Saccharomyces cerevisiae S288C: one gene and its partner. The main gene of each other region encodes a partner of the protein of the gene in region 2 in a complex. Each region holds a gene or a part of one and is shown on either strand. Other genes may lie near its edges. The genes, in order: SEC23 and SEC24. A codon is read from its position in the direction of its gene.

What was found.
Region 1: the proteins of SEC24 (region 2) and SEC23 are in contact, whole or in part, in a crystal structure (PDB 1M2V), measured with the Saccharomyces cerevisiae proteins. Residues at the interface, in NP_012157.3 of Saccharomyces cerevisiae: His355 (codon at 2,236), Gln372 (codon at 2,185), Ile373 (codon at 2,182), Asn374 (codon at 2,179), Met375 (codon at 2,176), Met376 (codon at 2,173), Asp377 (codon at 2,170), Ile378 (codon at 2,167), Ala379 (codon at 2,164), Asp380 (codon at 2,161), Glu382 (codon at 2,155), Glu383 (codon at 2,152), Phe385 (codon at 2,146), Leu386 (codon at 2,143), Pro387 (codon at 2,140), Arg388 (codon at 2,137), Pro389 (codon at 2,134), Asn390 (codon at 2,131), Lys409 (codon at 2,074), Gln412 (codon at 2,065), Ile413 (codon at 2,062); in NP_015507.1 of Saccharomyces cerevisiae: Val165 (codon at 2,427), Thr175 (codon at 2,397), Ile176 (codon at 2,394), Asp177 (codon at 2,391), Arg178 (codon at 2,388), Cys179 (codon at 2,385), Asn180 (codon at 2,382), Val181 (codon at 2,379), Phe182 (codon at 2,376), Arg183 (codon at 2,373), Arg186 (codon at 2,364), Tyr188 (codon at 2,358), Met196 (codon at 2,334), Gln240 (codon at 2,202), Gln249 (codon at 2,175), Trp250 (codon at 2,172).

The regions. Positions count from the first base shown.
Region 1 is NC_001148.4:896,749-901,369, forward strand, and holds SEC23 (GTPase-activating protein SEC23), read right to left. Parts: upstream 2,920-4,621; coding exon 613-2,919; downstream 1-612. Other genes in the region: E1 ubiquitin-activating protein AOS1, read left to right, coding at 1-256; mRNA splicing protein SMX3, read left to right, coding at 3,446-3,706; DPM1 (dolichyl-phosphate beta-D-mannosyltransferase), read left to right, coding at 4,007-4,621. UniProt on the Saccharomyces cerevisiae protein: Component of the coat protein complex II (COPII) which promotes the formation of transport vesicles from the endoplasmic reticulum (ER).
Region 2 is NC_001141.2:156,868-161,999, forward strand, and holds SEC24 (COPII subunit SEC24), read right to left. Parts: upstream 3,299-5,132; coding exon 518-3,298; downstream 1-517. Other genes in the region: HPM1 (protein-histidine N-methyltransferase), read left to right, coding at 1-311; YIL108W (putative metalloendopeptidase), read left to right, coding at 4,020-5,132. UniProt on the Saccharomyces cerevisiae protein: Component of the coat protein complex II (COPII) which promotes the formation of transport vesicles from the endoplasmic reticulum (ER).

The DNA of each region.
Region 1 (4,621 bases), on a different chromosome or scaffold from region 2:
CATAAGCTTTGAACAAATGAAAAGAGATGCGGCCGTATGGTGTGAAAATCTGGGTGTACCAGCAACAGTGGTAAAGGACGATTACATACAACAGTTTATCAAACAGAAAGGTATCGAGTTTGCTCCTGTCGCGGCCATTATAGGGGGTGCTGTAGCGCAGGATGTCATTAACATTCTAGGTAAAAGGCTATCTCCATTAAATAATTTCATTGTTTTTGATGGTATTACATTAGACATGCCACTTTTTGAGTTTTAGATATATACATACCTACTATACTGTAGTTTCAGCCAAAAAAAATAATAAAAAAAGCATAATTGGAGGCAGTAAAGCATTATAGTCATACACAATAATAATAATAATAATAATAATAATAATAATAATAATAGTAGTAGTAGTAATGGTAATAAAAAAGTTAGAAAAGAAATTAGATACAGATATTCGTAGTAAAGGCCACGCAGTACAAAAAAGACGGAGAATATATTATATAAAATCCTCTACTCTTTTCGTTCAGGTCCAAAGGAAAATTCTTGCACGCGCAATGGACTGAACAGGCCTTATATTATACAAAAAGCCTAATAACGATCAAATAAAACAAAAGAAAGCCGTTGCTCCTATGCCTGACCAGAGACGGCTACTTGTTGTAAGTGAGTCATGAAATTTTGTAAGGAAACATCATCTGTTAAGACAATTGTAGATCCTCCGCGCGCCATGTCTTGATAGTTATCGGAAGGATTCAATTTAGATAACAAGAATCTGGCTTGAGAACCACCGGCTTCAGTATCAATGAATCTTGGTAGCGGGAACCTATCTACTAACAATTCTGCGGCTTCTAATTTTGGCTCTTCAAGAAGAGCTTTGAAATCTGCGTACTGTGGATCGTCTTGGTAACCGGCTTTTCTCCATTGAGCGATTTGCTCACCGTGGTATATTAAGATGAAGAAAAATGTATCTAATAATAGAATGGTATTGGGTTTGACGGAGATAGAGTCTAATAATACCGGTTGTGGATCGTCCTCCATTGAGAAAGAAGTTAGAGTTGGTTGAATCATGATTAAAGAATTAGTCGTATCCTCTCTTGTGAAAATATGTCTATAAAATGCAGTTTCATCCGGAGAATTGTTAAAGACACTTAAGAATTGGGATCTTCTTAAATAATAGGTAAATTGAGGATACAGTGAGAAATTTGGAGCCAACCTGAAAGATTGAGGATCATCTTTATTATAGTCGGCGTACTTTTGACATAGCTTAATCAAAGTTCTGTCTAACCATCTAATAACATCTGCACCATCATCGGTTTCAGCCTTGTGAACAGCAATACGAGCCATCAAAACGGCAGCAGCTTCTTGATCGAAAGAAGCTGCAATGGCAGGAGTACCGAAGGGCAAAAGCTGGTTTGCGACCGTGGTGACTCTGATACGGTTGGTACCAGAGGAGTGTTGATAAGTAGTGATGAATTGAGTATATGCTAGATGAGGTCTATCTGCTGAACCAGGGGCAGACATCATTGGGTTAGAATTAGCCGCAGTGTTTGCAATTTCAAAGAAAATCGCATACGAGTGATAAGGCGATAAGGAAGCCATCTTCCAGGTGGACGTTGCACCTATACCGATTTCAGATTCACTGATGTTGTTAGCGTCTGTCTTCTTTACAGCAGAAGCATGCCCAATCAAACCTTGTACCTTCAAGTCTTTACTTGTCTTGACTGCCATATTACCATTGAAAGCCATCTTCAAATACCCTTCTTCATCCTTGGCAAACAATCTCAAGTATGATTGCTTAAAAATCGCGGTAGAGAAGGCATCGGTTAGCAACAACACACCTCCAGTAGAGTCGGTCAACTGTTTCATTTCAGACATACCGATTTGATCGTAACAACCGGCAAAAATATCAACAGTGTGTCCATTGGCGGCAACTCTTTGTGCAATCTGGTTGTAAAACTTACAGGCCTTCTTGTAATGTTGCGCGTGATCAGAATCGATGTCGTGGTGGGATCTTAAGGGATCTTTTAACTCTGAGTTAACAATCAAACCTGGGGCCACGGTGCCTGGACCGGAGGCGAAAAGAATGATTCTTGCTGGGATGTTCTTATAGCAGCCCTGTAAAAGCAAAGATGCAATGTTCAAAGCGGAACCTGTGGCCCTTAATGGCCTATGACCCGCTGGAACAGACCATTGGTCTGGAGACAGATTTTCCAGTAATTGATTCAGTTTGAACTCGACCTGTTCCAAGGGCAGGAAGAACCTATTCAAAGAGAAGGGCGTAACTTTGTTCATGGCGTTCGGTAGATGAGATGCAGCACCGCCGGGGCCGGTAGGCTTTTGGCCGGTCAACATTTCCGTCAACGCTTCGAGCTGGTACTCCCTGTCTCCTCTGAACACGTTGCACCTGTCAATAGTTTCGCTGGACAGATCGTGCAATTGAACAACGTTTCCGTAAGTGATCAACCCAATCAGCGCGTTGGGAGGTAATAGAGACAAAGAAGTGATGATAGACTCCTTTAGCGAATCGAGGTTCTCGGTTTCCGAAGTCAAATCCACAACAAAGAAGAAAATGGGAGGAACGGTAACGGGCTTATTGGTGATGTACTCAATGGTGGTGGACTGTAACTCTAGCGGCATATTCTCCTGTGACAAGTTGGTGTACTGTGGAGGTAAATGGTTCCTGGAGTTACAGATGGGACAACTCCAGGACGAATTGCGCGGATCAATCACACAGTAAGGATTTAGAATCGACTTACAGTGTGGACCGGAACACACAACTGGATTGTATGGGGCAACGTTCAATTCGTCATACTCCTTCAAAGGTGTGTACAAACAGCCCACAGGGACGACGTTGCTGTTAGCGTCGCTTCTAGTAGAGGGAAACACGTTCCAGGTGAAACGGACCCCGTTGATGTCTTCATTAGTCTCGAAGTCCATGGCTAGAAAAGAGGAAGGGGAGGCAGGCGACAGACAGATAAACACTGGCTTCAGTTAATTGTGTGTCTTGCTGAACGTGGAAAGATCACAACAAGTATCTTTTTTTCTTTTTTCAAACGTGTTTTTCTTTTATTCTTGCTAGAACTTTCCTCCTTTGTAACAAACGAGAGGCGGCGGGCTAGTCGTCGCAAGCGACAAATCTCAACTGACAGTAAATAACGGTGATAAAACAAAATTAGCGCAATCTCTCAAACTACTGAGGACAACCAACTTGAATTGCACTCTTCCAAGTTGTAGCATGGCTTGGGGGGTGTGTGATCCCATCCTGTATTATGGCAAAGCAGGCAAAACAACCGCTCTGCCGTCCGGGTAACTTTTCTTGTTCCACCTCTTTTCCCCAACATATATGAACATGAGATGGTAAGAGCAAGAAACAACGGTTCTATGAGCAACGCAAAAACAGCACAGCACACACAGCACCGCGTACTATACCACACCACACACTACGTCACAACACAACAAGACAATGAGCGAGAGCAGTGATATCAGCGCGATGCAGCCGGTGAACCCGAAGCCGTTCCTCAAAGGCCTGGTCAACCATCGTGTAGGCGTCAAGCTTAAGTTCAACAGCACCGAATATAGAGGTACGCTCGTGTCCACGGACAACTACTTTAACCTGCAGCTGAACGAAGCAGAAGAGTTTGTTGCGGGTGTCTCGCACGGCACCCTGGGCGAGATATTCATCCGCTGCAATAACGTGCTGTACATCAGGGAGCTGCCGAACTAAGACGACTGTGCTCATCTCCCTTACATACCAGTATATTTACATACGCCCTCTACTGTAATACAATATCATTCTATAGCACTCGCATCGCGTATTTTTTTTTTATTTTCTTGCTTTATATTGTTCTATTTTTCTTCCTTATTCCTGCCTCTGGATTTCCCTCGCATGACAAATAGCGTGGAAAAATAAAGGATTTCCAGTATTTGAAAAATTTTCAGTATTCTTACGTGTTCCTAACTCATATAGACCGCTATTGTAATAACGCTATCGCTTCAATTACACACAAACATACACGCACCCACAATGAGCATCGAATACTCTGTTATCGTTCCCGCTTACCATGAAAAGCTGAACATCAAACCCTTAACAACCAGATTGTTTGCCGGCATGAGCCCTGAAATGGCCAAGAAGACCGAGTTGATCTTTGTCGATGACAACTCACAGGATGGCTCCGTTGAGGAGGTGGACGCCCTAGCTCACCAAGGCTACAACGTCCGCATCATCGTCAGGACAAATGAACGTGGTCTATCCTCCGCCGTGCTTAAGGGTTTCTACGAGGCCAAGGGTCAGTACCTGGTATGCATGGACGCAGACCTACAACACCCTCCAGAGACCGTGCCCAAGTTGTTCGAGTCTTTGCACGATCACGCCTTTACTCTGGGCACCAGATATGCCCCAGGTGTCGGCATTGACAAGGACTGGCCTATGTACAGACGCGTCATTTCCTCCACTGCTAGAATGATGGCCAGACCTTTGACCATCGCCTCCGACCCCATGAGCGGGTTCTTCGGTCTACAAAAGAAGTACCTCGAAAACTGCAACCCTAGGGACATCAACTCGCAAGGTTTCAAGATTGCCCTCGAGCTTCTCGCCAAGCTTCCTCTTCCAAGAGACCCTAGAGTGGCGATCGGCGAAGTG
Region 2 (5,132 bases):
TCCATGAAGTACTCTCAGGTAGCCAAAAAGTCCTTTCATTATCCTCAGAAACAATTTATCAACCTGACAATTTGCCCGTTATAGCGGAAACAATACTTGACATACACAATTTACCACAAACCGATGTCAAAACTTACGTAGCCGCAAAGGATATTTATTTTGGAGTCGGTGGTAGCATCACTGAATTTGAAGCTTATTTGGACGACAAAATAAACTCCGAACATCTACCAATTCATTCTGAAAGGTTTAAAGTTAACTCTGGCTTAAAAAGGTCGATTATATGCATTGAAACAAATAAAGCTATCCGATAGTTAGTATAATTTGTTTCAACTTCATTTCCTTAAGTTAATCCATAAGTCTTTTACTGTATCTTTTATTTATAACATGGATGAAAATAGAAAAGAAATATAGAAGTAAAAATTAAAGTAACTGTTCAATATACATAATATAATTGGAAAGCAAAAATGCAACCAACAAAAATATACAGTTTCTTTTTATCATTGATTCCCTTTTAGCCTTATTTGCTAATTCTGGCTTTCATGATTTGTAAGAATTCTCTGTAACTTTCGTTATTCAAAATCTTATCCTCCACTAAGGTGCTAGAAGCCCATAGTCTTAGCGTTGCAACTTCCCTAGCAGATGCATGGTTAACGGGCTCGCTCAAAGAGGCACCCCTAACAATATACAATGATTGGTAAGTGATGACATCATCATGGTTTCTCAATTGGTTGATAATGTTTCTTACTCTTTGATTGAATTCAGAATTTTCAACAACAGGTATTTCCTGTTTGCCAATTGGAATGTCAAAGATATCCTGTGTTCCAAACACATCGAATACTAGCGCTGGTACAGCGTCACCACCCATCCACAAAAACAATTCGTTACCATTATCTATCAAGTATAGACCGTATCTTTCAAACAACGAAGAGGTAGCATTGATTGGTTGAGGCAAAACAATTGTGCCAGTAGCTTCACCATCTTCAGTTTGCACTGGTAACCCAGCCTCATCAGCCATATCATGCAGCGAATAAACATCAGGGTAGATGTTTTTGATTAGATATTTCAAAGGTAATGATTCTAAGTTGTTCAAGGCCGAGGCGCGATGGTCACTTGGGACAATACCAGATCTAAATGCCATATGCTTAGTTAAAGAATGCATTAACAATGGGAACATTCTCAAATTGGCACATAACCTCAATGGGGCCCCCCCTGCAGTGTTGGACACCACTATTTCCTTCTTGTACGTGGCTAAGATATCTTGCACGGATTTGTTGATCAATACTCTTGCATCGTCCAAACTGGAATTCAATGCTTTCTCCACCGCCTTCGAGTTGTAAAACGACGCTATAGCTAATTGGTCAGCAGATGCGTAGACTTCTGCCAACGATTCCGTGGTTGGCATAGCCAATGTTATAATTCTTATTCTACGTTGACTATTATTCAGAGATAAAAGTACCGCTACTTGAACATAACAATAGTCAGCCATAATGGATTCATCAACGTTAACTTCGAATAAGTATGATTGATCTCTTGGCATGGTGGAAAATGCACATAAATCAGATGATCTATTGAAGAAGTGACCATAGAATCTACTCATTCTCAAACCTGTGGAACCACGGGCTCTCATTACGGTTTCCATACAGAAATCCATGGAAATGTGCTTGGCAAACTCAGTGGAAAATTTGACAATATCATTTGGGTTCTTGCCTGAAAAACCAGGATAGAAATGCGTTTGACCAGCAGTGAAACGACTCAAATTCGATAGTGATGCAACGTCCATATAATCTTCAGAAGCCAAAAATAAATCGACAGTAATCTGTACTTTAGAACAATCGATGGTGAAATTCTTATAAAATGAGTCTTGACAGGAAAGTAGTTGTGCAGTTTCCTTGGATGTATTAACAACACCACTTTCATTTCTCCTTTGTAATTTTCCTATGCCTAAGTTGGGCAAAGTACCTGACACAACAATTATTTTACCACCAACGCCACCAATTAAATGATAAGCGGATTTCAAAGCGGGGCCCAGTGCGAAATTTGTGATTAAATTAGATTGGAAGATTTGAGGAATCTTGGTCAATAAAGTTTCAATGTTTTGTCTGCAGGCCTTTAAGGACACAACCATAGAGTTTGGTCTGGGCAAGAAAGGCTCTTCCAGGTCGGCAATATCCATCATGTTGATTTGATCGGCGGACTCTTCATTGTTTTCAGAATCCAATGGGATTTTAAAGTAGTGAATGGCGTTGTCTACACATAAGATGGAAATTCTGGTTCTTTCATCATGGTTTGGAATGGAATCAAGATTTTGCAAAAGGGTGTTGATGGTAGTGGCCAGTAACCCACTCTTGATAGAGGACTGGGAGACATCGATCAGGAAACAGTAAGTGGCTGGAGGTGGTTGTCTTAGAGTATATTCCTTTGGGGCCATATATTCCATCACAGCACATTTGATTTCATTTCTGTCGTATCTACTCTTTGGGTCGTTTGGATCGCTCTGGTCCATTTGCATAGGAACGTCATTGGCCAGACGACAAAAGTTACATCTCCATCTTCTGCCTTGCTCGATAAAAGTGACAAAAGGGTTCATGTAAGAACGACAACGACGACAACGGACAATAAGTCCATCTTCATTCAATGGAGGCGGGTCGATATCGTCGTACAAGTGTTGGTATGGTCTGATAACAAGCCCAAATGGAAGTTTAGACTTCTTCAGCAGGGAGCTGTTCTTAGGAACGGCGTTCAAGGTCGACCTGATATAATCTGGAGACGCATTGGACAATTCAGAAGGAACTAACATCCTTTCTGGAGGAATAACCAACGGTGGGGGAGGCAAGGTCAGATCGGTAATTGGAGGAGGCAATTCCGTCAACAGATCGATTGGATACAACTGGTTCATGGGCCTCATGTTTTGGCCCATTGCGGCGCTAGGTTGGCCATACGCAGGCGCTGCCATTGGTTGTTGCTGTTGCTGCAAAGGTGTGCCCATTTGCACGGGAACCTGTGGCTGCATATAAGCGTTAGGATCGACTAGCGGTACGTTGTGCAGATGCATATCGTTCATGGAAGTGGTGGCCTGATCAATTTGCTGGTGTAACTGTTCTTGAGCAGGGGTTAGGAATTGTTGCTGCCCCATGGAAGGGACTGCACCCTGTGGCGGCATTCCCATCTGACCATAGCTCATTCCAGCTGCAGCAGGATCCTGCGGAGGCATGAATTGTGCTGGCTGTTGTAGAGGGGTGGCATTTTGTCCATACTGGAGCTGAGCTTGTGGGTAAACACGTTTCTTGTGATGAGACATTTTGCAGATGGTCTCAGACTTATATATTTATGTCTGTTTCAATGCGGCAAAAATGGACCTGAGTGCCAGATAAAACCTTTTTGTAGTGCTATTTTTGGCCTGTTTCCTGATGTACCATCCTCCTTACATAGTTTTGTTTTTCTTCGTTTTCGTTCTTCCAGTTTTCATTTTCTTCTGCCGTAAATGGAAAAAACAAGAAAAAAAAAAAGAGAACAGCTAAGCGTTAACAAATCTGCTCCAGTGGCCATGTCCAAGACTGTTTTTCAAGCCCAGATAGTGCCTGAATAGACTGCATTAAGCTGAAAAACTTATAGCAGTGGTTAGTGCAAAATGCACACTTGTCAGTGCTATGTATATTTGTGACACGATTCTATCACCCAAACATAGCACTAATTACTTTTTTGTTACCCGGCATTCTAGGCGGAAATTTGCTGAAATTTTCCATCAATTAATTACGTAACCTATTCTTTTAAGAGCATGATGTTGTATATAAATATAGATCACCTTAGGAACAGTCAGGCTTTCTTAGGTTTCAGAAGTTCATGTGTCTTGGCGCAGTCAATTCTCTCGATCTTTTTTTGGTTTGGACGTTTAAGAGTAGCGGTCGCCGGAAAATAGAGAGAAAAAGGAAATTTAAAAGGAGTTCTTCTTTCTTCTTATTATTAGATCGTATACAGTAAAAAAAAAAAAAGGAAGTAGTAGTTCGAAGAGAAAGAAATAAATGGTAGGCTCGAAGGATATTGATCTATTCAACCTGAGAGAGAACGAGCAAATCGTTTCTCCTTGTCTTATCGTGCACGGAAAATGCAATAAGCAAAATGGTGCGAAGACCGTTCAAGTGCAGCATCCACAATTGCCTCCAATTACTTACCCCATACATAATCAGTTCTTCAAGGCCACTGTGATATTGACTCCTGGTGAGAACAAGTTGACCTTTGTTACAGACACTAACACCGCTAGGACAATCGTATGTTACTACACACCACTGACGCAGAACCCTCCCGTACACCTGTGTCTGATCTTGGCCAAGGATTCGCCTTTACAGTTTGACTCTCCTCGAGAACAGAAGGACAGAGAGGGCGGGAATGGCCTCGAATTGGCAATCAAGAAGCTAAGACTTGGGGCCAGACTCATGCAAGCGTACACGAACGAGCAAATGCTGAGAAACAGTATGGGAAATAGGACGTTTCCCTTTGTTGAAGAATTTACCTGGGACACGCTGTTCGAACGGCCTGCTATGAGAAACACCATCAAAATACATGTAGTTCGTTCGGAAAAGACGGTGAAGGAAATCCAGGACCCTGACATAGCTCAACAGAATTCCAAAGGGAAAAACACCGGCGCCCTTTTTGGGATAGCCATGGACGCCCTTAAAAGTTACGGCGGACCCTTCACCAATAACGAAAAGCCTGTTCAGGCAGCTTGTATGTTTCTAGACACCCACTGGGATGGTAAGTTGATTAGAGGCCACGCCGCATTGGGTGGGGGTGACGACAGCATTAAGCTCGCCATTTTTGGGTCGCACGGGCTTTACTCATGGCCTACTTGTCTCGAGCAATTGGTGCCTTATTTTACTGATGAGACAAGATCCTCCACCAGTGAAGTCGCCAACGACTGTAATGAGTGTGGTACTTACTGGGAATGTTTGACTATCACGTTGGGAGCATTTATGCATGAGATTGGTCACTTACTGGGTTGTCCTCATCAGGAAAGCGGTGTTATGCTAAGAGGCTATACCACTTTGAATAGGTCTTTCTTGACTAAAGAGGCTTATTCTGTAAGAACTAATTCAACTGGTGCTAGTCCTCCCATCTTCCCCAAGGAAGAATGTACC